Linked DNA regions of Xenopus tropicalis. The protein of the gene in region 3 purifies or fractionates together with the protein of the main gene of each other region. This does not show direct contact. Links are inferred from orthologs where the notes say so. Each region holds a gene or a part of one and is shown on either strand. Other genes may lie near its edges. The genes, in order: gskip, axin1, gsk3a, nbr1 and prune1.

The links.
Region 1: the proteins of gsk3a (region 3) and gskip purify together in Homo sapiens (affinity purification with mass spectrometry; 7 studies listed by BioGRID and IntAct, with this or other methods). This does not show direct contact. The link is inferred for Xenopus tropicalis from reciprocal best matches to the Homo sapiens genes GSK3A and GSKIP.
Region 2: the proteins of gsk3a (region 3) and axin1 purify together in Homo sapiens (affinity purification with mass spectrometry; 12 studies listed by BioGRID and IntAct, with this or other methods). This does not show direct contact. The link is inferred for Xenopus tropicalis from reciprocal best matches to the Homo sapiens genes GSK3A and AXIN1.
Region 4: the proteins of gsk3a (region 3) and nbr1 purify together in Homo sapiens (affinity purification with western blotting; 3 studies listed by BioGRID and IntAct, with this or other methods). This does not show direct contact. The link is inferred for Xenopus tropicalis from reciprocal best matches to the Homo sapiens genes GSK3A and NBR1.
Region 5: the proteins of gsk3a (region 3) and prune1 purify together in Homo sapiens (affinity purification with mass spectrometry; 3 studies listed by BioGRID and IntAct, with this or other methods). This does not show direct contact. The link is inferred for Xenopus tropicalis from reciprocal best matches to the Homo sapiens genes GSK3A and PRUNE1.

What each region holds. Positions count from the first base shown.
Region 1 is NC_030684.2:89,147,338-89,154,061, forward strand, and holds the start of gskip (GSK3-beta interaction protein), read left to right. Parts: upstream 1-2,877; 5' UTR 2,878-2,976; intron 2,977-3,343; exon of another isoform or gene 3,344-3,380; intron 3,381-4,596; 5' UTR 4,597-4,599; coding exon 4,600-4,857; intron 4,858-6,183; coding exon 6,184-6,345; 3' UTR 6,346-6,724. Other genes in the region: atg2b (autophagy-related protein 2 homolog B), read right to left, coding at 234-396, 2,110-2,271. UniProt on the Homo sapiens protein: A-kinase anchoring protein for GSK3B and PKA that regulates or facilitates their kinase activity towards their targets.
Region 2 is NC_030685.2:15,079,567-15,085,770, forward strand, and holds part of axin1 (axin-1), read right to left. Parts: intron 5,511-6,204; coding exon 5,373-5,510; intron 4,261-5,372; coding exon 3,707-4,260; intron 3,480-3,706; coding exon 3,303-3,479; intron 1,620-3,302; coding exon 1,374-1,619; intron 1-1,373. UniProt on the Homo sapiens protein: Component of the beta-catenin destruction complex required for regulating CTNNB1 levels through phosphorylation and ubiquitination, and modulating Wnt-signaling.
Region 3 is NC_030683.2:107,338,020-107,344,673, forward strand, and holds the start of gsk3a (glycogen synthase kinase-3 alpha), read right to left. Parts: upstream 3,700-6,654; 5' UTR 3,176-3,699; coding exon 3,037-3,175; intron 1-3,036. UniProt on the Homo sapiens protein: Constitutively active protein kinase that acts as a negative regulator in the hormonal control of glucose homeostasis, Wnt signaling and regulation of transcription factors and microtubules, by phosphorylating and inactivating glycogen synthase (GYS1 or GYS2), CTNNB1/beta-catenin, APC and AXIN1.
Region 4 is NC_030686.2:19,637,039-19,643,242, forward strand, and holds part of nbr1 (next to BRCA1 gene 1 protein), read left to right. Parts: intron 1-201; coding exon 202-351; intron 352-667; coding exon 668-827; intron 828-1,087; coding exon 1,088-1,354; intron 1,355-2,152; coding exon 2,153-2,272; intron 2,273-2,777; coding exon 2,778-2,853; intron 2,854-3,840; coding exon 3,841-3,951; intron 3,952-5,009; coding exon 5,010-5,165; intron 5,166-6,204. UniProt on the Homo sapiens protein: Ubiquitin-binding autophagy adapter that participates in different processes including host defense or intracellular homeostasis.
Region 5 is NC_030684.2:138,308,160-138,314,481, reverse strand, and holds the end of prune1 (exopolyphosphatase PRUNE1), read left to right. Parts: intron 1-3,834; coding exon 3,835-4,377; 3' UTR 4,378-4,485; downstream 4,486-6,322. UniProt on the Homo sapiens protein: Phosphodiesterase (PDE) that has higher activity toward cAMP than cGMP, as substrate. Plays a role in cell proliferation, migration and differentiation, and acts as a negative regulator of NME1. Plays a role in the regulation of neurogenesis.

The DNA.
Region 1 (6,724 bases), on a different chromosome or scaffold from region 3:
CCACCTTTGTCTGCATTAAACCGCTTCCAAATTCTTAATCTGCTGACAATATTGAGTAAATGAAAGACATATTCATTAACAAAACACTACTTGGTGCCCCTGCTACAAAACACACATCACATAATTATGAGTGCTACAAAGTAACTACTTCACTTCATAATATACATATTGCTTTTACTTATCGTTTTCCAGTTTTTTCTAGTATAAAAAATCATCATGAAAAGTTTACTTACTTAGCCGAGGTCTTGGCCTGAAGACCATCTCGAGTCCCTTCACTTCAAGTGCACAATTATCCTGCAGTAAGGAGCCCCATGGAATGGAGAGAGAGATGGCTTGTATAAAACCTTCTGTAACCTCCAAAGGTGCATCTGCTGACTCCAGTATTTCATTTAGACTCTAGATAGAAAAATAGTATAATAAATGCATAGTTCACATTGCTTCATGTGTGATATTACAACACTTCATTATAATAAACCTGTAATTAGAAAATTATTATTTAAGGAACTATTAATACTACAATTGTTGTAAAGCACCAATCAAATAGAAAACTAATTTCTAGAAACTAATTGCATTCCATTCAAATTCCAAAACGTTTTCTAAATATTTCAATAATAAAAAAAAGTGGGTTGAGAGTTTACCTTCATAAAAAAAGAGATTTTTGTTAAAAATCAAACGTGCTTAATCAGTTATTTTCCTCAATGTATACAATTAAAAATGAGCTTAATTAACAAAGTTTCAGTGATTGGTAAAGTCTAAGCATACAAAATAGGAAATATATATATATAGGAAATATATATTGCTGAAAAGTAATGTCTTTAGTTTCCATAGGGCTGAAAAACACTTCAGTAAATGCAGTAAAATATCAAGAGGGAGGCATAAAATAGTATAATATGAGCTTATTTTGCAAAAAAACCTGAATTTAACAAGAAGTTAGGTATCTGCCTTAAGTATTGGACAGTGGAGTACTCATTGATTCAATACATTCCACAATCTAACACTTTCAAACAATGATTCAGAACATTATTAGATAAAGTACCTTAAATTTTGATTTGGAGGAATGTAAAAGAATGTGTGTGCTTGTGCTTGTGCTTTAAGCAACTACAGCCCTTTCTTGAAATATTAGAAAGCTTGCTAGTTCAGTCTAAGTGGCAATAAACCAAGCCAATTTAACCCTTTTCCTGCTGGGAACCTTTGATCTTGCTGCACCATGCCATCAATCAAAACAGAACACAAATGAAGAAGAAGTCAAACCAGCAAGTTGAATGGGTAGAAGAAAAGTAGCTTCAGCAAAATTAGAGGACAATTACAACTGTTAAGGTGTACCATGCTAATGATAAGAGATGACATTGGACAGTTCTCTGTATTTACTCCTTGTTACTTCATCAGAAAAATGTGACAAAACATAATGTGTGAACTTAAGGGCTACTGAATAGACAAGAAGGTACTAAGGGTGAAGACACACAGAGCTACTAGTAGCAGCTACTTGTCGTGGCTACTAAAAAAAGACAATGCTGACCATTTACTGATAATTGTCTCTACGTGTGCTTTAGCAGAGGAAATTCTCAGTATTGTCTATGGCAGGGTATTTTCTGGAGATCAGTAGCCTTGAAAAAGTAGCTGCTACTAGTAGCCCAGTGTGTGTCTTTACCCTTAGAAACACTTTCAACTGGAAAAAAAAAAACAATAATAAAGAACTAAACTGGTATGTTCTCTCAAGCAGGGATAACACACGGCTACTGAAATGTGTTTCACTAATAGTCTTTATTATACTTTTACATACACATATTTACCAATTTATTTGTGAATTCTTCAACGTCATTCCAGTAAACTGCAATGCACTAACAAACAGAATGGTTGAGCTGTTTGTAGCAATAAATGTTACATGAATGCACCATTTATCTCAAAAACTATACCAAAAAATCTAAATCACCTCTTTAAGACAATTAAATATTGAGCATCTACAACAGTATGGGTGCATTTTTATGTCTATGGCCATTCCCCTTTAACTCTGTTAAGATTACTATGTGCCACTGTTATAACACCATGTTTATAGAAAGATAATTCATTTTCAATCAATGCATTTCAGACATTGTCATTTACATGGCTTACCCATTTGTCCAAGGGAACTTGTGACAGAGAGCCAGTGCCTTGATACAAGTCCAAAGTGAGCTGTTCCAGGCTGAGTTTTTCCTGAAGAAAGTGCCCTAGATATCGTTGCAGCAGGTACCTGCAGGCCCTTTTCTTGATGGACTCAGAGAAGGGCCAAGGCATGATTACTACTGAATGGGAGATCACACAGCCCTATTAACTCTGTCACCCTAAGCAGAATTTAGGTGCTAATTTAAGTACCCAGAACTAACATACACAACCTGCACATGTCATGCACACACTTAGCTTGTCTGTTTGATTCGCATGCATAACTATTGACCATTACTTATCCATCTTAAACTCGTCATTCATTTAACCATTCACCCAACACACTGGGTATTGCCAAAGTCACACAATATTGCGTATTTCTATTAAAGGCCTTCAAGCCACGTTAATCAGCTGTATCTGAAGTCCATGCTCAGTGTTGCCGCGGAGATTCAGCCCTTCCATTAGTCGGGTTTCGGTAGGAGGATAACAGTGCAATACTGGCAGCAATACAACAAGCTTATAATCCTAACAATTCCAAAAAGCTGCCTTCTCACTCTCCCATAACTCCGTATCAGCTTGTCTCAGGGATCGAGACATAAACAATGACATCACTTCCAGGTTGTGAGAACAACACAGTTCTACGGACGCCATTTTTTAATTTGGCACACAATGGGAACTCCAGTCCTAGCGTGCCCGGTCACGGTTACTTAATGATTGTGAATGTGGCAATCGGCATGAACAGGAAGTAAAGGTTTAACCAGAGCTGCGGAAGGCATTGATTGTACTGTAGTTTGGAATCTGCGTGATAAGACTAATCTCCTTTAACGCAAATAATTACAGGTAAAAGTGTGAAAACTAGGCTGGCAGGAGTCGCAGTCAGACAGGGGCGTAGCGCCTTACTTCTATACACAGGCGCTGCATGACTCTGGAAAATAATATTCTGGTTATAGTTCAGCAATTGCTCTTATGTCCCAGAGAATCGCGATTTGCTTTCGTTATGAAAAAAATACTGGGAGATACTGCGACTCATGCAGGACGTTGCCTGTCCTCCCTGAGAATTGGTCCTGAATATGAACTGCTAAGCAAATTATTGTACAATCTATTGTGTCAGCAATTTGTATGAAAATTAGAGACCATGTGAATTGTGTGTAGGAAGGATCAATATTTAAGCATTTAGTTTGCTAACGTTGACTTCTTTACTTTACAGGTATAGGACCCGTTATCCAGAATACTCGGGACCAAGGGTATGGCGGATTAGAGGTCTTTCCGTAATTTGGATCCATAATTTGGATCTCCATACCTTAAGTCTACTAAAAAATCAATAAAACATTAATTAAACCCAATAGGATTGTTTTGCATCCAAAAAGGAATATTTATATCTTATTAGGATCAATTACAATGTACTGCTTTATTACTGCAGAGAAAAAGGAAATCAGTTTTCAAATTCTGAATTATTTGATTAAAATGGAGTCTATGGGAGACGGGCTTTCCGTAATTCGGAGCTTTCTGGATAATGGGTTTCCAGATAAGGGATCCCATACTTGTACTTGATAGAAGCAATCGCACTTTGGGAGCTTTATCCTGAATTTGAATGTCTCCTGTTGATTATTCATTACACATGAATTATTCATTAAATATTAAAATATGCATTTTAGTATCTCTGTGTTTGTTTTATGCCTGTTTATGAATGATTTAGTGATATTTTAAAATATGGTGGGCATAATGCATAGTGATGGTCAGCATTTTCTGTGTCTGGAGGCTCTCCAACTCAGGCGCTGAATCACTGCAGGTTGAATTCAGTAGAAATGATTGCCAGTTAGCCTTCAGGGGAGATATATATTGCTCTTGAAAAATCACTTAAGGTGACCATACTCTGTCCTTCCACACCAGCTCAGCAGCTTATTGGCTGTATATAGGAGCAATATTATATGATTAAAAATCCTGATAGCAATCGAGCAGGCTTGATTTTGCTGTCTTAGCAAGGACAGGATCAGCCCTTTGATGCAGTCCTCTTCTGATGGCCTGCATATTTATAATTTGATCATTGGCTCGAGGGCCAAATGATCAGATCAGCCTGACAGCACCCTGCTTAAGATGGGCATAAAGGGGAAAACTCTTGCCAAACAAGCAGATCTTTAGGTGTATGAATAGTTTAAGTATGATATGATTTAAAGGCATATGGCACAAAAGCTGCTTTGTTGTAGTAGCAATCAGATTTTTGTGGAAAAGCTATGGGCTGCTTTCCATTGACAGCAGGAGAAAGTACTGGAAGAATTGACCAAAAGAATACCTTAAAGGCACACTTCTCTTTTTATTAATTTTTTGTATGTACAGAAATACCTTATCAAAGCAGATTAATATTTTTTTTTTTTTTAAATACAGTTTTTGGTGCAGACTTTTTTGACTGTTAATTTAGTCTAATCCTATTTCCCTTAACTACTTTGTTTGTTTGTTTTTTAGAAAATGGAGGTCGACTACAACCCAATGGATTTGCCAGTTAACACTGTTTATGAAGATGAGTCTGAATTCAGAGATTTGGAAGGAACTGATGTAAAGGATATGTGTTTAGAGGCTGAAGCTATTGTAAATGATGTACTGTTTGCTGTTGGCAACATGTTTGTCTCAAAAACTCTACCATGTGCTGTGGATGTTGCATACATCAATGTTGAGATAAAGGAAGGAACCAGATACTGCCTGGAACTTACTGATGCTGGGTTAAGGGTAAGTGTTTTGAAGGAGTACAACATATGAAAATGTGTACATTGTGCTACATATTCTAGATGGTCTCAGCACAACTCAACTATAGTGATGAGCGAATTTGCCCATCACTACTCAACTATGTTTTATTGGTTTTAAATTCTCCAGGTCATTGCTTCCTACAGTTAAATCTATAATTTTTTTACACCATTGTGAAAATAAGCTTAAAATAGAAAATATAGGAAAATAGGAAAATTCACAGATCTCCCTAAAAACGTACAGTTTCAGTGCTTCAGTTTTTGCCTCCTGATGAAAGTCCCAGTGGGGACTGAAATGTTGAGGCTTGCTATGTTTATTTTTTTTATTTTTTCTCAATAAATATCATTTTATATACATTTGTATGAAACCCTGTGTGTGTAGGGAGCAAGTAAGCAGCACACCATAAACCAGAGTTGATACCTGGGTGCTTGTGCAGGAATCAAAATGTATTTTGTACAAGTGACACAGCACTCATAGGAATTATGCACACACGTTCAATAATAGAGAAAAGTTTTTGGTTTATTAAATCCAGCGTTTCAGTCTTTATATATATATATATATATATATATATATATATATATATATATATATATATATAAAAATTTTAAATAAAATAGCTAGACATTTTCTTAAGTAGTAAGTTGTCATATATGCATTGTGCAGTCCTCCTTCTGGCCTGCATTGCCTACCATTGTGCATTATCAAAATGCTCCTGCCCGAAACAAAGTCCAGACTGAGCAAGCTAGGAATTTAATGCTTATGCTCCGATTGGCAACCAAGGCAGGAGCGGGGAGTGGTGTTAGCCAAGGCTTACACTTTGCCCACTTACAAGCAATTTGAAGACAAGTATTACCACAAAAAAGGTGTACACCAATATCCAGATTGAGCCTAAAAGGGGAATGTTTAGTTTGGCTTTCCTTTCCCTTTAAAATGAGTATCCCTTTTAAAATGCAGTTTTTGTCCATTTATGAAATTAATAATTTAATAAAAATGGGCTTATTCTATAAAGGATATGTCAAAAACAATTTTTTAATTTTTTTTAAATACCCCAGCCTGCCACCGGATACTTGTATCTAAGTTTTGTGAAGTATTTCGCGGATGAGGTTATTGGCTTAACTGGCACATGTCCAGACATGTGTATTTTAGGGGTTAGGCATGGGGGATGTATCTGGGGCACTGGCAGATATCAATCTGGCTATGGTGTTGACTCAAAAAGAAGGTTAATTGTGAATGCACACAATGTAAAAATAATAAAAGTATTATTTTGCTGCTCATCTTATTCTAATATTGTCTTTACATTTTTTATTCCAGGTGGCTGGTTATGCATTTGACCATCTTGCTGAAGGACTGTGTAGCCAGTACCATGAGACTGTCTACTCTTTATTGGACTCTCTCAGTCCAGCATACCGGGAGGCCTTTGGAAATGCACTTCTGCAGAGATTGGAAGCACTGAAAAGAGATGGACAGTCATAAGTGATTCCTTTAGAAATCTGCCTATTAATATAAAACCATGTTTATACACAAGTTTTAATTTATTTTTAACATCTCATTCAGTTTAACATCTCATTGCAGCACCCACCGTAGTGTTTTCTGTTTCGGATATATATATACATACAATACAGTCTTCAATCTAGCTGTTAGGGATGGTTTTTAATCTTTGGTTGGAATCTCAAATCATATAATTTGCTGCAGGTTTATGTGCCCTGATCTTATCTTCTATGGAAATATTTTGCATATTTGCTGTTTCTATTGAGCTTGCTCTAGCAAAGTGTTACAATAATGTTGCTGTATTGCAGAAGTGACACCTAATCTTGAATTAAACTGTAATTTTGGGTGATTACTGTTGCATGAT
Region 2 (6,204 bases), on a different chromosome or scaffold from region 3:
CACAGAGGCTGCTATGAGGAAAGCTAATTTGCTTCCACTATTTACTCACTGGATGCACCAAGAGACACAGTTATGGGAACTATTATGCTCGAGACCTGGGGATTTCCACACACAGGGTTTCCCTGTCATTTTGTCAATACAATGCATATCTGTAAACACGACAAGCCCTAAATGGGCTACTGAGGATATGGGTAGCGCTGAGTAAGGGGGCTGCTGCCTGTGCCTTGGGACACAAGGTGGGTTCTCCAGAGATAATCAATGAAACTAGGGGTTTAAACATGACAATTCTGGGATACAATGCCACTGCCTGTAATCTACAGTTTTACCATAAACTATAATCGGTTTTGTGTATAAATGCAGGCAGAGAAACAGCCATTCCATTCTGCACTGGCCCGGGAGAAGAATCATGGAGGAGATTTCAAGTGTGGAGAGAAGCACAAGTGGGCAGGCTGTTTTCCGGCCTGCATATTTTAGCCATCCGAAACACAGCCAAGTGTGGCACTACCTATAAACTCTGTAACTGGATTTTTTTTTATGAGTTGAACGTCATTATCAGGATAAGGGGGAAAAGGGTGGGAGGAAAATATTCTGATTTCTGAAAGTAAAGATTGTAACTTTGAATTTCAGCAATGCTTGGAAAGCCATATGAAATTTTAATGTGTTTAAAAGCTGCGCACAAGCAGTAGTTTGGCTCCCTGCGAGTCGGCTGCTGTCGAGCACAAACCCCCCACTGCCTGGCATAGCCTCCAAAGCGTAAGGATAATGAGCTACTTACAAGCGAGAGCTCCTATAATGGGTGTCCCATGGCACCAACAGACTGGTGCTAAGAGGGATCAGCTAGTTCCCTTACATCCAGAGAACGTTCCCTTTTATATGGCATTTCACAGGGACGCAACAGCTTATCTCATTTAATATAAATAAAATGAAGCAGCGTTCCTACCTGCGGCTAAAGGACAGTTCCAGTCCAGCTGTGTCCTTACTGACAAGTGCAGCGAGGTCCCTTCAGACACATAGCCGGAGGGGCACGCTGTAATTAGGAGTGAGCCTCCAGCTAAACACAAGGCCTGAGCTGCCTTCAGAGGGGGGTGACTGCTCTCAGCCCGTACAGGTAGGTAGGAATGGTATCAAGTGGTCATAGTAACCCTTGTGTAGCCACACTGCCCAACCTGCTGCTGTTCAACTACTGCAAGCACCCCCTGTAGCTGTATGTGCACTCATATGGTTACAGATATATGGCTGCAACTTCACCACCCTGAGAGAGTTCCTGCAGCAAATAAACATGCTCCGCATCTCACCATCATTCTCATAAAGGCTGGAGGAATGAAAGCGCTCCCCAACACAAAAAACAACAATAGTGTGTGTGACCCCGGTACCTTTGTTTCTGCGGCATCTTCCCCGCTCTTTTCTCCTCTTCCTCGAGACGTCTCCTCGCTTCTTCCAGCTGCGTCAGAGGATTAGGGGCAGGGTTGGGGGGCATGGTAGGGTCTTGGATGAAGGGATGGGAAGGCTGTACCACGTTGCGGAGCTGAGCGCTGACCCAAGGATGAACGGCACCGGGACGCTCGATAGAAAGTGGTCTGGGCAATTCGGAAGGAGGCTGCTTCTTGGCACCAGAGGAGCTGTAACCCCAAAATGAGATATGTCACCCCAAAGCAATTTAAGAAGCAGTTGCTATGCATGAATATCGGTACTTAGTATGTGCACCCCACAGCCAATGAAATTAAGCTTAGCAAAAATGTGGATCCTTTTGCAGCCCAGGCCTAGGTAGTACCAATGGGAAAGGATCACATCAACAATGTGTTCAACCCCCTATGGGATTTTCTAACCTGCCTCATTAATATCTTTCTCAAAAATGGCGAAATATCCAACAGGTAGGCTGACTAGAACTGCAAAATAATTTTTATTCAAAAGGGGCCTTAAGATTAACTTTTAGTATAATGTAGAGAGTGATATTCTAAGACAATTGGTAATTGGTCTTCCTATTTTATTATTTGTGGTTTTCGAGTTACTGCGTTTTTTATTCAACTGTTATCCAGTTCAGGATTTCAGCAGCTACCTGGTTGTTAGGGTTCATATTACCCTAGCAACGAGGTATTGATTTAAACAAGAGCACGGAATATGAACAGGAGCACGCCTGAATAGAAAGATGGGTAATACAAAGTTGTAATAACATTACAATTATAGCCTTACAGCACATTTGTTGTTTTGGCTGATGGGGTCAGTGACCCCCATTTGAAACCTGGAAAGGAAGTGGAAAGCAAATAATTCAGTAACTTAAAGAAAGAAAAAATAAAGGCCAATTAAAAATATATAACATACTAAAAGTTAAAGGGGTGGTTCCCCTTCAGTATGTTATAGAATGGCCTATTCTTAGCATGTTTTCATATTTTATTCTTTATAATTTTTGAATTATTTGTCATCCTCTTCTGCCTCTTTCCAGCTTTCAAATGGGGGTCACTGACCCCGGCAGCCAAAAACTATTGCTCTGTGAGGCTACAATTTTATTGTTATGGTTAATTTGTATTACTTAACTTTCTATTTAGGCCCTCTCCTATTTATATTCCTGTCTCTCTTTTAAACCACTGCCTGATTGTTGGATTAAATTGGACCCTAGCAGCCAGATAGCTGCTGAAATTCCAAACTGGAGAGCTGCTGAACAAAAAGCTAAATGTTTCAAAAACTGCAGATAATTAAAAATGAAGCCCAATTGCAGATTGCCTCAGGATAGCACTCTCTACACCAGGGATCCCCAACCAGTGGCTCGGGGGCAACATGTTGCTCCCCAACCCCTTGGATGTTGCTCTCAGTGCCCCCAAACCAGGGAGTTATTTTTGAATTCCTGACTTGGGGGCAAGTTTTGGTTGAATAAAGCCCCCTGTAAGCTGATAGTGTGCATAGAGGCCCCTAATAGCCAATTACAGCCCTTATTTGGCTCCTCCATGAACTTTTATGGTGCTTGTGTTGCTGCCCAAGTCTTTCTACATTTGACTGTGGCTCATGAGTAAGAAAGGTTGGGGTCCCCTGCTCTACATCATAGTAAAAGTTCATTGAAAGGCGAACCCCTCTTTCAAGAGGCTAAACACTCAAAATCACATATGTTACTGGCTGGATCATGTTTGACTAAACATGCAGGAGAAAATGACTTGCATATGGTTACAAGGCCCCATATTATTATTATTATGGTTGAACGTGACGGACGTATGTCTTTTTTCAACCTAACTTACTATGTTACTATATGGTACCGCCACCCACACCAGCCAAAAGGCAGCATTCTGTATGCGAATAAACCGGTTTGCACTCACCTGTGGTTACTTTTCTTGTGTCTGCTTATTTCCTTCTCTCCCTCCATTATCCACTGTAAGATCTTCTGGTGTCTCTCTGCATCCTCAGGGACAACAGGCATCTCATAGCTGGCACTTTCGCTCTTGCCTAAATCTGCCTTTTTAGCGTTCCTTTTTGAAAGCATGCTGACTTTGCCACTGTGGAAGACAGACAGGTTACTGCTTTATGGCTGCTAGCTACTCCTGCCTATTCCTCATCCTTCATCCAGTTACTGTTTGTGTCTTAAGCTTACAGAGAAGGGGGAGTTTGTTGAATGGAGAGGTCTTCTGGCAAAGGTTATTTAACAATTTGCTATACATTTTCATTTTTAGGGATCTAACAGACCTGTGAAATATAAACAGATAACAATTTTGCCTTTAGTTACCTGTAAGCCAAAGAATCCATAGGATTGGGAGCCATACCCATGCTCTCTGCATAATTGCGCGATTTGGTTGCATAGTTATGAGACTCTACATTCCAAGGGAAGTTGGTCTGTACTCGCTGTGTTGCTTCCGCCTCTATCTGCTCTTTTGGTTTAACCCCGCCATGGTGATGGACGTGGTGGTAGACGTGCTTGTGATGATGCATGTTACCAGAGTCTACTTTTGAGCCGGACTTGGACGTATGCTTTCCATGTCCCGTTTGCATTGTTCCCAGAGACCCGGGAAGGGTCTTGCTTACATGGCCATCTGGGGAGCGGGGTTTTGGGGAATGACGTCCGGTCCCAGGAGACTGGCAGCCTGGGGTTTTCATGACGCGCTGCACGTGCTCATCGAGAATAGATTCCGGATTTTCCTCATGGGCGTCTCGGACTTGCATTCCGACGCATCCCATGTCAGAATAGCGTGAATTATAGTGATGCATCGGCGGGCCTGAAGGCAACTTGTGGCTAATAATCGAAGGTCCAGAGGAGACATCCCCATCGTCCCCTTCTTCTTCCTATAAAGGGAAAAATAAATTTGGGTTGAAAACCGCGACACAGATCAAATCTACTACAAACACCGGCCTCTTAGAAAGTATTCATGCTGTCACCGCAGCCATTCACTAAGCAAAGTGCATTATTTGAAGCTTGCAAAACATGTGGCAAAACCCTCTGCATTGACAATAAAGGTAACTGCCCTGACACCTTCAGGTCAATACATGCTCAGAATTTTCAGTCAATGCCATGCCTTTTTTCTGTGTTTTGCCAAATACTTTGTGCTATTTAAGGTTTTTAAACCTTAAACACCTACAGGTGGGCAATATTGGGTTAATTCAGTCTTTGGCCCTAAGGCCAAATGGTCAAATTAAAACAGCGGGTATAGGTGCCATCAGTATGATTTTTCCATCGGATCCAGGGACGAATGACGGGTCTGCCGGACTGACATGTGCCCAGAAAACGGGCAGATCTCAATTGGTCAGGTTTGAATTTTCCGTCGGATCTGGGGATCGCATCAACAAGTCGATGCAATCCCCTGATCAGACGGAAAATTGAAACCTGGCCAATTGAGATCTGCCCATTTTCCCGTCAGATGTCAGTCGGGCAGACCCGCCATTCATGCCCATACACGGACAGACAAGCTGCCGAATCGGTCTAAAGGACCAATATTGGCAGCTAGAATCGGCCCATGTATGGCCACCTTAAGAGTTAAGAAGGCTTTATTTATACATAAAAGGTTAAACTTGACATACGACAAGGGCTTTTAGGTGCCATAGAAAGCAGTGGAGGGCAGTTTCAGCCTTAAGTGTTCAAGCAACTAAGGCCCGGAAATGGCATGAATACCATTGCTATTAGGCCATTATGTATGTGCCTAATGCTTCTCTGCTGCCCAACATAGGGCTGACTTAACTGATGCAATTTAGCAACTGAAAACAAAAACAATAGATTGTAAGCTCTTTTGCTCTTGTATCGGTTATTGATTGCTTTATATGTTACTCTGTATGTCCAATGTATGAAACCCACTTATTGTACAACGCTGCGGAATATGTTGGCGATTTATAAATAAATGTTAATAATAATAATAATAATAACAACTTGTAGTGTGATCAGAGATAAAGCAATCGGTACTTACGGCTCGGACGCGCTTAAGCCGCTCTTCAAGCTTCTGTTCTGCTTCGCGGTCTCTCAGGACCCCCTCCAAGCGACTAATAAGTTCAGCAGCAAATTTTTCTGGATCGACGTGAATATCCTTTGGCATATGATATGTACGCTGGGGGGAAATATATGTCAGAGAGTTAATTAAGGAACAATTCAGCAAAACAGAGTGCGACGGTTCATGCACAGCCCTAATGATTCCAGGTATATTTTTGGGTTCCAAATACTTCATTTCTTTGGGTGGTTGGCAGCATGGAAGAAAACACTACCAATTTCCATTTAAATTAACTTATATGTTATAGATGAACCAAGCAGCTTTCCCAGCTGAACCTTTTTTAGGCGCTCTCCCCATTCGATGAAAATTGCTTGAGTGTTACCCAGTTGCTATGGTAATTACACCCTAGCAACCAAGGGCTGTTTAAATGCCAAGCTTCCCATATGCAGAACAATACAACACAAAGGGGCACAGCCTAAAGCCTTTGATACGGAAGACTATTTTTCTAAATACAATTTTTAATATAATATCCCCGTTGTTTTCTTGAAAGGGAAATAAAATCTGCTGGAAGCGAAAGAAGGGAAAGGGAAACAAGACATTCATTAGTTTCATCTTGACTCTGGGTGGATCCCGACCAATAACTCTGCAGGGGAAGGAGCTGCAGAGCTTTCAATAACCTGAAAGAACATTCCAAGGGGGGGAACAAAAACTACAAAGATTAGTCAGCACCCCAGGGCTAAGGCATAATGGCTGAGAGCTATGGAAACAAATCGAGTAGGACAAAACCCCCCTGTCTGAAGGATAAGAATGAGCT
Region 3 (6,654 bases):
TATTTATATAAACTATAGTAAAGTTTCAAACAAAGGCACCAGTTGTACCAGTGCAGGGCATCAGTACATTATAGTTTAATTACTTTGAAACACTTTCATTTTTTGGTGTTACTGTTCCTTTAAGGTTTGCGTTCAATGGAACCAGGGTGCCTAGCAAAACAGCCCACCAAACTTTACTGCCTGCAGGAAGGATTCCGTTGGCTGGTGCTCTTCTAGCATCTTCCAAAGCCAGACTTTGTATCGGACTCAGAAAATCAATTACTCCAGAGGGCACATTTCCACTGCTTGAGAGTGCACTGGTAGTTAGCTTCACAGCACCCCAGCAGATGAGTGGCACTGCAGACAATGTTAGGTTAATTCATCTTTGGGGTTTTGTTGGCAATCAATGTCCCATAAGAATAGTTCATGAGCTGCCATTGCTTTGGGAAACATTTTGGAAGTGAGCAGCAACAGTTACACGGACAAGCGACTTTAGATGGATTGCCCAGATACTTTTGGACACATTTTATTTTTATAAGGATTATTTCTCTTATAGGCAAATGCCCCAAACGGGTCAGATACTCAGTTTTAATAATGAAGAAGTTATCTAAAAAGTCAAAGTTTAGGGAGTGCTTACTGGCGATTCAATAAAAGCTCAATGGCTAGCACTACTAAATTGAAGCTCTATGATCAGTTCTGTGCACGATCTGCAAGCGGTTTGTATGTTCTCATCCTGCCTACGCAGGGTTTTCCCGGGTATCTTGCACCCCCCCCCCCCCCCCCACTCTAAATCCAGACCAGTTAGCTGGCTACTGATTAAATTGCCCATTGTGTAAATGTGACAATGACCCTACACTATAAAGGGCTCTGGCACACTGGGAGATTAGTCGCCAGCGACAAATTTCCCTGTTCGCGGGCGACTAATCTCCCCGAATAGCCATCCCACCAGCGAAAACTTTGCTAAAACTTAGTAAGGGCCACAGCCAGCCAGGGCACGTCCACATTCACAATAGTTTTAAATATGTCTCTTAGTGGTTAACAATTCCCACTCTACCCGTCAAGCTCATTCATGTACAAAAAGAACTCTGTTTATAGTATAGGCTATTTTTATACAACTCCTACATACATGGTCAGAACCAATAACTATAAAAAAAACATTTTAAAGTGCCTGTTTCACAGCATGGATCGCTAAGTAAATTCTAACTGGTCCGTTGCACAATTGTGTTTAATTGATGGGTGGACAAATGACCCACGAGAAACAGTTATGGGTTTGTATAAAGTAGCCACATGCAGGCCAACAGTTGCGCAATGTAGACTTAAACTGCCCTGCCATCTGCATGTGTGCGAGCTCTAAACAACCTGAAATTCCAACCATAATTTGCTTTAGGTCAATAAGATTCCAGTCAGACGTGCTGGAACTGTGCAACCAGTAACCCCATAAGCCTAACAACTAGTAAGTGCTAATTTGCCTTCAGAAGCAAACGGCAGCTTTAAATGTCGGACTGGCTTGATCACCTGGTGGGAAACCATCTCTTCTGCAGGCGCTGAATGTGCCCGACGATATCTTCCCCTTTATTTTCCTTTCAAATGATGTGTGTAAAACACATTACAAGCAGCGACCCCAGGAAATCACTTAAAAATGCCTCCTTCACCATTTTTGCCGATATCTCCCTTAGTCTCTTAATCCTAAAGGCTTCCATTTATAAATAACATTTTATACAATACAACAAAATAGCCTGTCTACAGAGATCCTATATTACCTCTTACAATTTTCAAGCCTAAAGCCACCTACTTTTTGGTGGATGCATGTGCATGGGATCTATGTAACGCAAATATCAGCTGACTTCACATGCCCACATTATGATCTGATTGTTAGCCTGGGACCAAACAGTCGGATCGCCCTCATTAGGCTATTGTGTTTGTGGCCAAATCTGATACGGTTCAGAGAAAAACCCAAATCAGCTAAAACCTCGCTCTAATATAATAAAGTAAGCATGCCTTTGCAAAAAGATCATTTAATAGGAGATAAAACTCACAGTCTCCGCTACATGGATAAACTTTTTGGCACCCCATAAAGTGTTACCCTTTCCATGTCTTTTTACTTTTGGCATCCTTCATAGCTTGGCTAAAGGTTGTAGACTAGCTTTTCTAATTTTCTTTCTTTCTTCAGCTTTACTCTCTACCTGTAACAAAGTTTTTATTATGATGCCTCTTCAAAGAAGGTATGTGCTGTACTGTTTGTACTACTAGAACAGTGGTTCCTAAACTGGGGGGGGGGAATGTTGGAGCACAAAGATGGGCTTGAACTGACAACCACCGTACCACTGAGTTATAGCTCAGCAATACTAAGTGAATAGTCTGATATCTGGCCTAAGATCGTCTAGATATTGATTAATATTAATACGATATTGAGTTAACATTAAAGTGTCCCTAGTCCCGAAGGCCTGTATGTCATCAATGTGACCCAATCCTGCCCACCTCAAGGCTGGCATTTGGGGAAAGAGTTGCTCATTCGGCAACCAACTTTACCTTTGTCCTGGTACCTTGGCTCTGGGTCACATTGTCACTGGCTGGAGTTTAAGGGTGACATTATACAATACATTTTCAGAGAAGACAGCAGATCCTGGACACAAGGGTAGATCAGTGGTCCCTGTATTATTTCAGTTCAGTTGGTCCAGCACTGGGCAAGACCCCCTCAATGCACAAGGTTACAGACATAGGGAAGGAGTGGGGTATCAGTAACAGTTTGGGGAATATGTAGGGCAGCAGTCACCCCAAATCTCCCTGTAAGTGACCTTCAGGCGGGGCTTTGTGGTGTAACAAACGAATATACAGTCTCCCCATATCCCACCCTAGCTGGCCTTCAGCCTGAGCCCCCTGCCCAAGCCATTACTCCATTGCTGCCCCAGAGCTTCGGAAGCTGTAGATGAGCAGATTCCCCTGTAGTGATAACAGGGAGATAGAATTACAGGACGCCCCACTTGAGAATGAAGTGTATTGTTGCCTTTCCCCAGCCCACCTGTACAGCAGGAAGCCACCATGGCGCTATATACTTACTCCCTATCTTCATAAAGGCCCCGGGCACGGACGCTCCGCCAGATGCAGCCGCGGAAGTCACGGGTCCTTTATTTGTCCCCGCTTGTACCTGCTCCACGAAGGCCTCGCCCCCGCCCCGGGCCCGGTTGGCGGCGCTCATACTGAGGAGCGACAAGTACAAGCGCTGAATGGTACCGGGCTAGGGAACCTTCCCTGCGGCCGCCGCCACCACACTCCTCAAAATCAGCCTCTCCGAAGTCCAGGCCGCGTCGTGCGGCTCTCTGGGAATCCGAGGCCCGCTCTGCCCCCCCAGTCACAGGCAATCCCAGGCAGGACTACAACTCCCAGCTTCCCACGCGGTGTCTGAGTCGTGGTAGTGCGCGCAAGGAACTATGGGATTCCAGCGTCACCTGATGCGGGGGTCCGGGGGGCGGAAACTACAACTACCACATGCCCCCGCGTTAGAGCAGAAGTGGCGTGAATGCCAGCCGTGCTAATGACGGAAACAGCTGCCTGTGGGTGGGGCTGGGGGCTACCTCATAACATTCACAGTGACCTGCTCATGTTTTCTGTCTCTTAGGCAATATGTATCTAGTATCGAACAATAACTAAAAGGCCCACTCTTCGGCAGCCGTCGAACTAGGGCCAGGAATACGGATGTGTGGGAGACTGGGACTCTAGTTGTAAATTGGGGCGGAAGTGAGTAAGCGCCATATGCGTTTTGGGCAACATATCGACTACTAGTTTATCAAAAAAGGGCGGATGTGGAAGAAATGCGCGGGAATTCAAAATAGACGTTCGTTAGGAATAGACTATATAAGAGGGATGTATTAAATAATGACTGAACTCTTACAGCAACCCCTCTGGTGTTTGCCAGAACCCACAGATTGCTAGTCTGGCCCTGCACCAATACCTTTCATGGAATCAATGCACAGTAAAAAAAAAAAAAAAATATATTATATATATATATAAATAAAGCTTGAAAGCCATAAGTACAACAACTGTAAAATGGTTCTAGTGTTTCACATATGCATTTCAGTCACAGTCATGTCAGTTATGCCACAGCTGCCAGCATCACACAATACACTGTTTTATGGCCTGTATTTTACGAAGTATTAATGGTACTCAATATCAATGTGATTTTCCATCAGGAGAGAACTCCACTATACAAAAAAATCATGGGCCCGGCAGCCATTGACTTGGCATTCTACTCAAAATCCACTCAGCAGGCAGCTGTAATTAGTCAATTGCAAGAGCAGTTTGGCACCATATTGGTGTTATCTCTATTGTATTTTCTGCAGACAGAGAAAATGCAAAAGGTGTCAACCCCCCTACAAATTATACATAGAAAAGACTAGGGGGATTATTTATTAACACTGCTATGGGCAACATCACCGATGACGTTTGTCTCCAATGACTCAGATCTTTGCTTTCTAACTTGTAGGTGTCCATTGAAATCTAATTGCTGAATGGTTGCTATGGGCAACATCACCAGTGATGTTTGTCTTTAATGTTAATAAATACACCCCTAGTCTGTATGGCCACAAATGCATACTTCACAACTGTCACAATTTTAATAGCACAGTCCCAGGTAAATTGGGACACTCCCAAAATTTGAGAATTGACACCTCTGGAAATGTCCCCCCATTTACCTTTGTATCATTTTCTGCCATTTAGTGCAGGAGATCAAAGTTTCTAAAACTAAACTAGATAAGTAGCTTTTGGCAGAGAGCCCAGAATATTCAACACCTGCACTTAGATACAATTATAACTAATAACATAAACTAGGTCTTTCAGGGGAACAGAGACTTGCAGGGAAATTTCACCTTCATTAGCAATATAGTAATAACACATAATGGAGACCTCAAAGCCCCCCAGAAATGTGTTCAAACTTTACATAACCTGCCAGATTTTGTAAAATGGGTGTGGTATTTAGGGAGTATGGTCACAAAATAGTCATGGTAAAAAAAAAAAATTACCCTGCACTATGACTTATTTTTTGTCCCCATTTACAATTTTCAAATTTTGGGAGTGTAAATGGGATCAAACGTGCAGCTGGACATTTTAAAAAGACATTTCCAGGGACAGACATTTCTTGGGAATGGGATAGAGTCTATAATTGCAGGGTCTTAAAAGGGTGCCTTTTCTGGAAACTTATAATAAAAAACCTTAATTGTCAGTATTAATAACATTGGCATCAAATACTATTTTTACTGGCTGGGTCAGTGAATCGCCAAGGTCCGGGGGAATCTCTGGATATTAAACAAGAAGGAAAGGTACAATCACCAGGGGGTTCGAAAATGTAAGGCACCCCCCAGTGACTGTAACTACTTATACCCTGGGCTGGCACTCCTGTAAGGAGAAAACTGCACCAGCCTGGGATGGCTGCAAGAGAGCAGTCCTATTCCTTCTCGTAGCTCACACATGCACAGTAGAGTGAAAAGCCAAACAAGAGAAGGAAGAGGATCACTTGTTTGCAGCTATCCCAGGCTGGTACGGTTTTCTTTTAACAGGGGCAACCAACCTCAGATATAAAGTAAGCAGTTACTGTCACTGGGGGGGGGGGGGTGCTTAACATTTTGGCACCCCTCAGTGATTTTACCTTTTTGTCTCCTTTTTCGATACAGGACCCCTCATCCGGAAACCCATTATCCAGATAGTTCCGAATTATAGAAAGGCCATCTCCTATAGATTGCATTTTCATCAAATAATTCACATTTTTAAATATGGTTTCCTTTTTCTCTGTAATAATAAAACAGTACCTTGTACTTCATCCCAACTAATATATAATTAACCCTTATTGGAGGCAAAATTATCCTATTGGGTTTAATTACTGTTTAATTAATTTTTTTAGCAGACTTAAGATAAGAGATCCGACTTAAAGTGGACCTGTCACCCAGACATGAAAATCTGTATAATAAAAGTCCTGTTCAAATTAAACATAAAACCCAAATTCATTTTTATATTAACACATCCAAACCCATTTTAAAGACATTTAAAAATCACAGCTGTCAATCATATATTGCTTGCCCCGCCTCTATGCCTTAGGCATAGAGGCGGGGCAGGCAATAACTTTAGCTTTCCATTCAGCACTTCCTAGATGTCACTGCACATCTCACTTTCCCCTCCCTCCTCCTCATCTAATCGTGTAGCCAGTGCATGGGCATCTGGTCCCCCATTCTGGCACATAAACAAGATTTTGGCATGATACAAAGCTTGCCTTCATAACAGTGTCCACAAAATGGTGCCTGCCTGCTTGCTTTGATTGTGTAATTCCAAGACGGAAGGAAACAAGGTTTATATTATTTATATAGAGTAAGTAAAGTTTATTTTGCTCAACTAACAATATAGAAAATAATTTGGACTTATTTCTAAGGGTGACAGGTCCGCTTTAAGTAAAGACCCCTTTATCCATAAAATCCCAGGTCCCGAGCATTCTGGATAATGGTCCCATACCTGTAGTTGGAAGTTTGCTGTGCAAATAAAGTCACTGTAACTGTGTGCTAATAAATACATGAAACAAAAGCAAGATGCACTGTACTTTAGAGCTGTGCTACAACAGGGGTTCCCTCACAACTGCTTGTAACAAAGAAATTATTGAGTCACGTGACTGATAGTAATTTAATTCATAGCATATTT
Region 4 (6,204 bases), on a different chromosome or scaffold from region 3:
CAGAAGTGCAAGAATACTTGGGGCAAAAGAGGCAGCACTGCCCAGGGGAATGGCTGTGCACCTCATGCTCTATTAAGTTGCAGGTTTCTGCAGTCTGAAACACAGCACAAAGACCTAGAACAATTCTGCAAGAATCTACACATTTGGTTATACTGTACAGGCATATTCATTCATATTCTTATTCTTATTCTTTCCCCACAGCACCTGTGAATCCTTTAGCATCTGCGAGCGCTGTGAGGCCGAAGGCTGTGACCATGACCCCAACCACCTATACTTCAAAATGCGGAGACCAGTAGAGGCCAGGACTGAAGGGCCGCTTGCTTTCCTTGCTTCCCCTAAAGAACAATTCAGGTGAAACTTTATGTTTGGGAACTTAACTTTCATACAGATTCTAAGGCTTTGCTTACACAATAGTGACTGTTGGTGCAACCCTGGCAGGTCCAGGCTGCGTCAGTGTCTGCATTCGCACTTTGAAATAGCAATGACATCCACTCAATTATGAGTCCAAACTAGCACTTTGCCCTTGTGTTCATTAATTAGGCTTCTAAACTTACTAAATATTAGCCCCTGTATGTTTCAGTGTAGCAGTTTATTTACTAAATAATTAAAGTCTTGTGGGCAGTTTGGGAATAAATGCCTCATTGCTTATTTTATTCTATCAATGCAGAATTCCCATGCAGCCATGCGCACAGATCATCCCCACTGTCAGTGCCATCTTTGTGGATGAAAACTTACCCGATGGAACACATCTTCAGCCAGGGACTAAGTTTATAAAACACTGGAGGATGAAGAACAATGGGAATGTTAAGTGGAGTTTGGATACTAAGGTAATGTGTCAGAAATCCTTTGTAAAGATCTGTGTAAACTGAAACACATTGCTCTTTGCTATATATATAAAATAATGGGTCAGTGGACGTCTGTCTGTAAGAACAGCCCAAGAAACTGGGCTTGTATGGAAAACTGTGCCTGTTGAACATTGAACCTACCTGTGTATATTACTTCTTTGTTAGACCCCCACCCTTTTTCTTAATTTTGCAAACAGTAGCAGTGCATAATATCTCCATACTGACTGGGTTACTTTCCACAGCTGACGTTCATGTGGGGAAACCTGACATTAGCACCCCCTTCATGCAAGGAAGCTCCAGTCCCTTCCCTGCACCCTAATGAGGTGGGAGTTTTGTCTGTAGACTTTATTGCCCCGGCACTGGAGGGGACCTACACCTCCCACTGGCGCCTGTCCCATAAGGGAGAACACTTTGGACCTCGAGTTTGGTGCAGCATCATTGTGGATACCATAGCATGTAATGATATTCTGGACCCTGCAGTGAAAGACCTATCTTCCAGGGGGATTGGGGCAAGTATATAATACTGATACCTTCTATTATGGCAGCTCTGTAGTATACTTGAAATCATTGGCATTACAAGGTATAATTTTTTTTTTTATAATTTTTTTATTGTTTTATAGTAACAAAATAAACATTTCATAAATCGAGTTGTATATTTGTATAACAGTTAGATAATGTTATCATGTGGATACAAGTTATCATTGATATTGAGATAAAATTACATTTATATTTCAATAAAGGGAATAAATAAAAAAGGTTAAGTAATAACAGAGGAATATATTATTAAACATAGTTCAATTTAGGAACACTTGCCTACTACTTTGTTAAGTAGATAATAGGTGAGTAGGGTGAGTCCCTCCGAATCTATAGTCTATCCATGGTGTGCGCTATTGTCAACTTTTCATTTATAAATATCCAGTCGATTTTGGGCTTAAATAGGTTATAATTTATAGTAAGGGATTTCCAAGATCTTGCTAGAACTTGTCTTGCAGCCAGAAATATCTAGTTAATTTATCTCCTTTGTGTATTTGTCAGCCCTTGAGCTGGTGCTCCCATTAATGCGACATATGGGTCTCTTCACAGGTTAACGTTTAGGACTGCAAAGTTATATTCCCAAATCCAATATCTAGTTGCTTGTGGACAGGTCCACCATATATGGGCCATAGTCCCTGAGGGTATAATTATTTTTTATAATAATTTTGAACTACATTCCAACTATACTTTTTTTACATTGTAATTTCTAAAATAATCACAGACCTTATTAAATATTGACCTTTAATAGGATGCAACCCACTGTATTTACTCAGCAACAGAATGGATACTTGCTGATCCAAGACGTGGCCAGGGCCCCCACTCCTGAGCCAATCAGGAATATGAACTGTGACAGACAGCTGTACATTCCATCTGTGGATCTTCTTACTGCTCAGGTAAAAAACTGTCCCTTCTTGGTGGGGTTGGAGGCAATGGTATTAATTTCACCTAGTTATAACCAGTTTTCTTCTTACTTTCACCTTTTATTCTTACAGTTTATAAAGGTGCAGAGTTTACAAAACACACTTTTGGCTCACCTAATTAAATATTTACTCAGTCACACTTTAGTTCACATTTTCTATCTGTTTTCTTGAACAGGCAGCCATCTTTAAAAAGGTATTCTCCCTTCCTTTCCCTCCTTGCTTCATACTGCACATGTGTTTCATTCCCTCCCCCCCCCCCCCCCCAGCCTACAGGAAGGGGTGAGAGATTTCAGTGATGTCACTGTAGTCTTCACACTGCTGTAGGCTGCCAGCACCATATCTCAGAGAAGCAAGCAGATATCTGGGAATTTAGATATGCAGTAAATACTTAAAAAGAATGCCTTTAGACTTACTTTTAATTTATATTAATTTTTCCTTGTCCTTTAAGGGATGAGTTCACCTTTATTCTTTTGTTTAGGATTTGCTTTCATTTGAGTTGCTGGATATAAACATTGTCCAAGAACTGGAACATGTTCCTCATAATACTCCCATTGGTGAGTGCACTTTAAAGACTTTGTATGTATTAAGAGTAGAAGTAAACAAAAACACAGTGGCATGGTGGTGGTGGGAGGTAGGCTAATAGCTTGCAACAGGTATGTCTCATCCGGGTTTACAAAAGTGTGGCCCGTATTCCACAACAATGGCAAAAGAGCTGCAGTTTGCTTTTGCCTGATCTTAAGCAGCAGCGTGCATACAGGACTTAGAGGGCAGCTTAAATCCAAGGGCACTAAGAAGTATTCAAAAGTACAAAACTTGTCTCAGCATAAATTGCACCATCTTCACCTAATCTGGCAAATGCCAGAGGGGCTGCTATAAGATTCCATAGACAGTTGCTATTTATTGGGCCTGTGGTGGTAGCCTCAGTGTAGTTTAAAATGCCAGGTCTTGACTGGGATTCAAAATAGGCCCTGGCATTCCAAGTACAAAGATGCCCAAACAGCTCCCATCTGACAGCAGCCCCTCTAGCATTTGCTAAAATCCACAGATTGGTAGTCTGTGCCTGGTAAAAAAAAATCTTCCTTTCTTCCAATTTCAGAAATTTCCTTCCTTCCACTTTCAGCCATAAATTCTTTGGAAGGATATGAGAGATTATTATGTGGTCTGTTTAAATATTTATCATATCTCACCCCCCCAACAAGCCATTGTTGTTTAGCTTAATGGATGCATATTGGAAATAAGATATCCTTTCATTATGCAAAGGCAGTATTTGGATTCCAGTAGAACTAATATTATCTCGCTTCATGTTTTCTTGCAGCTAGTATGTATGCACCTGAATAGAAGAGAATATTTTCTGGTTGTAATGGTTGTTGTCAATCATACACAGAAACAGACACATTATTTGTATGGTTTTGGTTATTAGCATGCTCACCATTATACCAACAATGTTTTAATGATGGAACAACTCTGAACTTCTTTAGGTCTTTAAACTTGCTTTTATAAGCCTTTAATATCTTATATACTGATCCAGTTTTTCTTTCTAGATATGACTCCGTGCATGTCTCCTCTGACACACGATGGACCATTAATTGAGAATACAGGTTTGGGACAAACAGTTGAAGAGAGTAAAATGACTTTGCAAAAGACAGATAATAGTAAGGCCTTGCATATAACTGAGACAATATATAAATATATGTTGATATATGTTGATGATATGATCATGTGGCCACTGGAGCTCTTCACCAAAGGTTGGTTGTGGCCACAGGAAAGATTTTCCTGTGAACAAATGTATTGGATAATAAATGTATATATAATGAATTTATGTGATATCGGTTTAGTAGCATAGTTTTTCCATGAGTGGGCCAAAACTGCTTATCTGTTTGCAGTGATGCTGAGTTACACACTCAGTGATGCAGTGGTTAGTATTGCTGCCTTGCTAGGTTCTATTCCAGCTAAGGCACAGGCTTATTTATAAAGGCTGGGCAGATTTGCATCTGGGCGGTAACCCATGGCAACAAAAAGTTTACTTTTATTGTTCAACCTGCAGCTGCCTAAAAAGAAGCCATTCACTGATAAGTTACTATAAGTTACTGCCCTTGTGCAAATTTGCTGAGTCTTTATAAATGAGCCCCATCTCCAACATTTTGGTATTGGTGCCCTCTGAAGACACAGGCCCTTTTTTTTTTTTCACTCAGGTGAGTTTATTAAAGGGTGAACATAGAAAAATCATACATTTGGTTTAGCATTGATACATGAAAAAGATGGTACATAGCTTGGTAACAGAGTAAATTGCGAGGGTATAGGATCAATGTTTCCAGAATAACAGACATATTAAGTACAGTTTTGTATGGTTTTTACAGTAGCCTATTTTACTGTACATTTTTAGCGTGGTCATTCACTTATAGCTATATTCCACTTATTCCATACTTTTTCATATTTTTTGTGATTTCCATTTCTTTTGTATGCGGCCTTTTCTATTTTATTCAAATCCTCAACTAACTCATGCCATTGGTCATATGTTGGAGGGTCAGGGCATTTCCAGAGCCTGGTGACCCATTTCCTAGCTATAAATACAACGTAGTACTTTTTGTAGGTACTGTATGTCTGTGCTGGGTAGTTTCAGTGATGTAGTGATGCCCAGCAGACAGACATATGTGATAATGTAGTCTATAGAAACATCAATGTGTGTTTTATATGGCTCCTTTTTTTTCAGGACTAAGTAAGTTTCTCGATAACAAAGAAAACACTGCGGCACAGGATGAAGAAGAAATCAGCGGAACCCAGTTTGTGTGTGAAACAGTAATACGCAGTCTCACGCTAGATGCAGCCCCGGATTACAACCTACCTCAAAGGAAGCCCTCGCCCCACAGTGGGTTCCATGTTGATACAATACTGTAAAGGTCATAGAGGCCTGATGGTGGGAGATAGGCATCCCTTGGGTTTCTGGATATAGGATCTCATACTCAGTGAAACCTGCATCTCATATTCTTTTTCAAAAAGTAATAGGATCTGAATAATGTGGGTCATATTAAGCCATACCATTATTCAGTGGGGACTTTGCATATTAAAACTTGAAATGTTCTTTCAGTGGAGAATATGCATATTAAAACTTGACATTTTCTTTAACAAAATTGCCTCACATATGAACATAAAATAGTTGCATTCATTTGTCAGCTAGGTCACATGACTTTTGCGATTCATGTTTGTTTGGGTCCAGCAAAAAGCACTGGAATTCACTTAAATCCGAAACAAAATCCTAATATGCAGAATGACCCAAGCAGTATTGGAAGGGCTCTTGGCAGCTAGTGGGTTTGGTGCTTTGCATTCTTTCTTAAGATGGTTATATAGACATGACCAGATCCTTCTTGTGAACTCTTTTACTAAACAGCATGTTTTGGCCAAACTGATCAACAACAGCATGTGTTCGGGGTTGCTGTGATAAGTACATAGTTACATAGTTACATAGGGTTGAAAAAAGACCAGAGTCCTTCAAGTTCAACCCATCCAAGTAAACCCAGCACACACAACTTATACTTACCTATCTATACACTTACATACATAAACTATATACACAACCACTAATACTAACTGTAGATTTTAGTATCACAATAGCCTTGGATATTCTGCTTGTTCAAGAACTCATCCAGGCCCCTCTTAAAGGCATTAACAGAATCTGCCATAACCACATCTCTAGGAAGGGCATTCCACAACCTCACTGCCCTCACCGTGAAAAACCACCTACGCTGCTTCAAATGGAAGCTCCGTTCCTCTAATCTAAAGGGGTCACCTCTGGTGCGCTGATCGTTTTTATGGGAAAAAAGAACACCCCCTATCTATATTCCCCTCTAATGTATTTGTACAGAGTAATCATGTCCCCTCGCAAGCGCCTCTTTTCCAGAGAAAACAAC
Region 5 (6,322 bases), on a different chromosome or scaffold from region 3:
GCCTTTTACTCCCACACTACTTCCTGTTACACAGAGCTGCATCACTTCCTGTCAGCTGATCTCTGAGGGAGCACACAGCCATCACAAAATGGCGGCTCAAGGGAAAGGATGTAAAAGGGCAATATTTACTGATATATATATTCCAGTTTGGGGAGATTCTTTAATAGGCCACTTAACATAATATAAACTATCAGTATTCATTCTGGGGGTATAGTTTTCCTTTAAAGGGAAATAAGTGGCCAATGAAATCAATGGAATCTGCTTTATTAAGGAACAAACACAACACTAGGTGGCGCTCTCTATATAGACTTCTTTCAAGGAAGAGCTGTGTAACGAACCTGAGGGTGACTGGACTCTGAAAGCGCAAAGCCATTTTGCACCCTGCTGTGCTTAGTGAGCACCCACACTACCTTCATAGGGACCAACTGCATGGCTGGCAGGACACTGTACAGACTCACAGCTGCACCGTGTATTCCATTCTGCTAGGTACAGTATTATATACTGTATAAAGTGATAGGGATATATGGACTATATAGTAGGTTGTAGTTCAACTACATCAGGAGAGCTGCTGCCTGCCAATCCCTGCTCTGGGCCCTTTAGCAGGCAGTAAAAGGAAAGTGTTGGTGTAAATGTTCCTTTAAAGTCCCTCTGATCCTGTCACTGATTAACTTGGCCTGCGGTTTAAAGTCTAGTGCCTGAGAAACGTGATCTCGCCCCGGGGCAGATCCCAGTAATCAAGGAGCAATCGGGTCGGGCAGTTGGCGCGGGTAAGGAGCAACATCTCATCGGCCATTTGGGGCCCTGGGGAGCTAGGGGTTAATGTTACCCAGACTGTCACTGCTCTATTTTACACTATTTAGGTGATTTACCCCCATTTTGGCAATTTGTTTATGATCCATATCGCTCCTGCCATTAACCCATTCACTACCTGCAGTATATTCTCAGATACAGGGAAGGGAGCTGTGTTGCTTGTGGCTTTTCAACATGTTTTTTCTTATTGGTCACCAGGAAACATACGACCGGCCAGTTAGGCTTTCTATGGGATTTCAGGTTTTCACGGTGCCGGCGTTACTTGCCGGTTCTGCATCTGGGACCTCAGGTTCTTTAGTTTGTCAACAAACAAATCCGCTGTATTGCACAGAGCTTATCTTGGTAAATTATGTCTAAAAGCGCAGAAACTGGGACTTTACTTGTCCTTTAATCTTAGTTTTGGTAATTGAATTGGAATTAACGAAGCTAAAAGTAACCAAATCCCTACAGACCCAGTAGTGTATTTTGTAGCAGGATCTCTGGGTAGTAGCGCTGAAAATCACCCTGACGGGGGTATATTTCTAATGTATGATTTACCCTGTCTATGGGCAGTTTTATGCTTCACTTGTATTCCTTACATTTTCTACGTATTTGGTATTTATTTCCTGTTCTTTCCTGGTACTAGCACTGCGTTCTGCTGTGCCACTGGGATTTATCCTGCTGTGTGTTCTGGGGTATTATACATGGAATTGGCACTGTATTTATCCTGCTGTGGGTTCTGGGGTATTATACATGGAATTGGCACTGTATTTATCCTGCTGTGGGTTCTGGGGTATTATACATGGAACTGGCACTGTATTTATCCTGCTGTGGGTTCTGGGGTATTATACATGGAATTGGCACTGTATTTATCCTGCTGTGGGTTCTGGGGTATTATACATGGAATTGGCACTGTATTTATCCTGCTGTGGGTTCTGGGGTATTATACATGGAATTGGCACTGTATTTATCCCGCTGTGGGTTCTGGGGTATTATACATGGAATTGGCACTGTATTTATCCCGCTGTGGGTTCTGGGGTATTATACATGGAATTGGCACTGTATTTATCCTGCTGTGGGTTCTGGGGTATTATACATGGAATTGGCACTGTATTTATCCTGCTGTGGGTTCTGGGTATTATACATGGAATTGGCACTGTATTTATCCTGCTGTGGGTTCTGGGGTATTATACATGGAATTGGCACTGTATTTATCTTGCTGTGGGTCTGGGTATACATGGAATGGCACTGTATTATCCTGCTGTGGGTTCTGGGGTATTATACATGAATTGGCGCTGTATTTATCCTGCTGTGGGTTCTGGGGTATTATACATGGAATTGGCACTGTATTTATCCTGCTGTGGGTTCTGGGGTATTATACATGGAATTGGCACTGTATTTATCCTGCTGTGGGTTCTGGGGTATTATACATGGAATTGGCACTGTATTAATCCTGCTGTGGGTTCTGGGGTATTATACATGAATTGGCACTGTATTTATCCTGCTGTGGGTTCTGGGATATTATACATGGAATTGGCACTGTATTTATCCTGCTGTGGGTTCTGGGGTATTATACATGGAATTGGCACTGTATTTATCCTGCTGTGGGTTCTGGGGTATTATACATGGAATTGGGCACTGTATTTATCCTGCTGTGGGTTCTGGGGTATTATACATGGAATTGGCACTGTATTTATCCTGCTGTGGGTTCTGGGGTATTATACATGGAATTGGCGCTGTATTTATCCTGCTGTGGGTTCTGGGGTATTATACATGGAATTGGCGCTGTATTTATCCTGCTGTGGGTTCTGGGGTATTATACATGGAATTGGCACTGTATTTATCCTGCTGTGGGTTCTGGGGTATTATACATGGAATTGGCACTGTATTTATCCTGCTGTGGGTTCTGGGGTATTATACATGTATATGGCACTGTATTTATCCTGCTGTGGGTTCTGGTGTATTATACATGGAATTGGCGCTGTATTTATCCTGCTGTGGGTTCTGGGGTATTATACATGGAATTGGCACTGTATTTATCCCGCTGTGGGTTCTGGGGTATTATACATGGAATTGGCACTGTATTTATCCCGCTGTGGGTTCTGGGGTATTATACATGGAATTGGCACTGTATTTATCCTGCTGTGGGTTCTGGGATATTATACATGGAATTGGCGCTGTATTTATCCTGCTGTGGGTTCTGGGGTATTATACATGGAATTGGCGCTGTATTTATCCCGCTGTGGGTTCTGGGGTATTATACATGGAATTGGCACTGTATTTATCCTGCTGTGGGTTCTGGGATATTATACATGGAATTGGCGCTGTATTTATCCTGCTGTGGGTTCTGGGGTATTATACATGGAATTGGCGCTGTATTTATCCCGCTGTGGGTTCTGGGGTATTATACATGGAATTGGCACTGTATTTATCCCGCTGTGGGTTCTGGGGTATTATACATGGAATTGGCACTGTATTTATCCCGCTGTGGGTTCTGGGGTATTATACATGGAATTGGCACTGTATTTATCCTGCTGTGGGTTCTGGGATATTATACATGGAATTGGCACTGTATTTATCCTGCTGTGGGTTCTGGGGTATTATACATGGAATTGGCGCTGTATTTATCCTGCTGTGGGTTCTGGGGTATTATACATGGAATTGGCACTGTATTTATCCTGCTGTTGGTTCTGGGGTATTATACATGGAATTGGCACTGTATTTATCCTGCCGTGGGTTCTTGGTTATTATACATTAAATTGGCACTGTATTAATCCAGCCATGTATTCTGGGGTACAGTTGGTAGGGCATAGAAGTGGAGTGGTGGGGAGTAGTGGATTTTTATAAAGCAGGATGAGCCTTGTTTAAAGGTAATGGGTATGTTTATTTTAAGTGCCAATCAGCTGTCACGCATTCGCACGAGTGATCACAGGTGCCACAACAACCAATGGGGAATCACATAGTAAGTTAGGGGCAAAGTGCCCAATACCTGTTTATGTGCCAGTGTACCAGCGTGCCAGTGTAACACACTTCTGCTTCCTATAGGTGTGCAAAGCCTTGCAGCAAGCTACCAACCCACCCCTCGACCTGACCGCCATAGCCTGCCCTCCGTGTCCCAGTACCACCACTTACCAACAAGGCAACACCGCTGCGTCCCGCAAAAAGGTCCTCCCCATCCTGAAAGATTTCCTGAGGAAGAGAGACCTGGAGGAGAGCTCCCCGATATCCATGCAGTCCTTGGAGAACCCGGAGACATCCAATGATTTCTCTGGCTTCAGGGAAAGGACCGGCGACGACAACTTGGAGGGCGGAGAGTTGTTTGGGGATTGTGGGGAGCAGCCGGAAGGCCAAGATGGTTGCCCTGGAGAAGAGCAAAGGAGCAAAGGATTTATTGGCACTTACAGGACACAACTGGACGACGGCTTAGAGGACGAGCGCTCCTTTCCCCCAACGCCTATGAACAGTCTGGTGGAAGGCTGCCCCCTCGACAGGGGTCTCCCAAAACTGACGGCGGAAGCCATTCTAGAAAGGTTCAGCCATATAACTGCTATAGATTCCGAGAGCCAATCAGGGGGCGAAAAGAAATGACCAGATAAGCATTTTTATTCCATTGCATTAATAATAATATTAATAATAATAATGATGATTTCTTAGCTTTGCCTTTTAATGAAGAGCAATAAAATGTTATTATCTACAGGAAACGGAAATAATAGGTAGGAAATGCCAAATTCTCCTTTAATAAGGGACATTGTGATTCTAGCTAATGCATTAAGGGTACCATATACCTATACTACAACTCCCAGCATGCCCTGAACGCCGTCGGTAGTTCACAACCGCTGGAAGGATTGGAAGCAGCCGTCCTCTCGCGCAGACTGTTAACCTTTCTTTTGAGTACTGTTTTGCCAATTGTATGACCTACCTCATGTCTGTCCGTGTGTTATCAACGAGCTCCTCCCACTAAAACACGCCCCCCCCCCCCCCTCCCTTTACATGTACTATATGGTAGCCTATATAAGCTAACAGAAGAAGGCATGATTCCTGTTGCAGGGGTATCCCATTTTATAAAGGCGTTTCTGTTCGTGCTTGCAGATTCTGCCTTGCCCTAACCTGCCATTTTTCTGCTTTTCCCATAATCCCTAGTCAGCTGCCAAAGCCCTTCATTCTGTGTTATAGCCTCACATTGGTTCTCTTTTATATATATATTTATATCATCTACAGTTTGGTCATTTCCCTATGAGACCAAACTGTAAATTATATCCTTATAAACAGTGCTTAGTGATGCCATCAGTTATAATCTGAGTTTAGTGATGTCATTTCTGTCACATGACTCACTGAAACTTGTGTATTATAGCAAATAAAGTACCCTTGTTGAAAAGTACCTCAGAGTTCCATGACCTGTATAAAAGCACTCAGCCTTCAGCCTCGTACCTTTATATGGCCATGGAACCCCTCTGTGACTTATAATATCCCTATATGTTACAATAGGGGGTACTTTATTCACTATATAATATACAGGAGCCACAAATAACCTTTATATGGCAATGGAACCCCTCTGTGACTTATAATATCCCTATATGTTACAATAGGGGATACTTTATTCACTATATAATATACAGGAGCCACAAATAACCTTTATATGGCCATGGAACCCCTCTGTGCCTTATAATATCCCTATATGTTACAATAGGGGGTACTTTATTCACTATATAATATACAGGAGCCACAAATAACCTTTATATGGCCATGGAACCCCTCTGTGACTTATAATATCCCTATATGTTACAATAGGGGGTACTTTATTCACTATATAATATACAAGAGCCACAAATAACCTTTATATGGCCATGGAACCCCTCTGTGACTTATAATATCCCTATATGTTACAATAGGGGGTACTTTATTCACTATATAATATACAGGAGCCACAAATAACCTTTATATGGCCATGGAACCCCTCTGTGACTTATAATATCCCTATATGTTACAATAGGGGGTACTTTATTCACTATATAATATACAAGAGCCACAAATAACCTTTATATGGCCATGGAACCCCTCTGTGACTTATAATATCCCTATATGTTACAATAGGGGGTACTTTATTCACTATATAATATACAAGAGCCACAAATACCCTTTATATGGCCATGGAACGCCTCTGTGACTTATAATATCCCTATATGTTACAATAGGGGGTACTTTATTCACTATATAATATACAGGAGCCACAAATAACCTTTATATGGCCATGGAACTCCTCGTGACTTATAACATCCCTATATTTTACAATAGGGGGTACTTTATTCAACATATATATATATATATATAAAGTAAGCTTTTATGTGCTGCACTAACTGCTATGACCAGCAGGTGGCAGCCATGGGCAACACACAGGCAGCACTATGTGCAGGAAAGTGGCAGTGGTGCCAGCAGAGGGTGGCAAAGAGGCCAGTAGCCGGGCAGACTGGCAATAAGTCAAGTGTTATATGTCAGAGTATTACTTAATAAAGGGCGCGCCTGGGAAGGAGCAGTG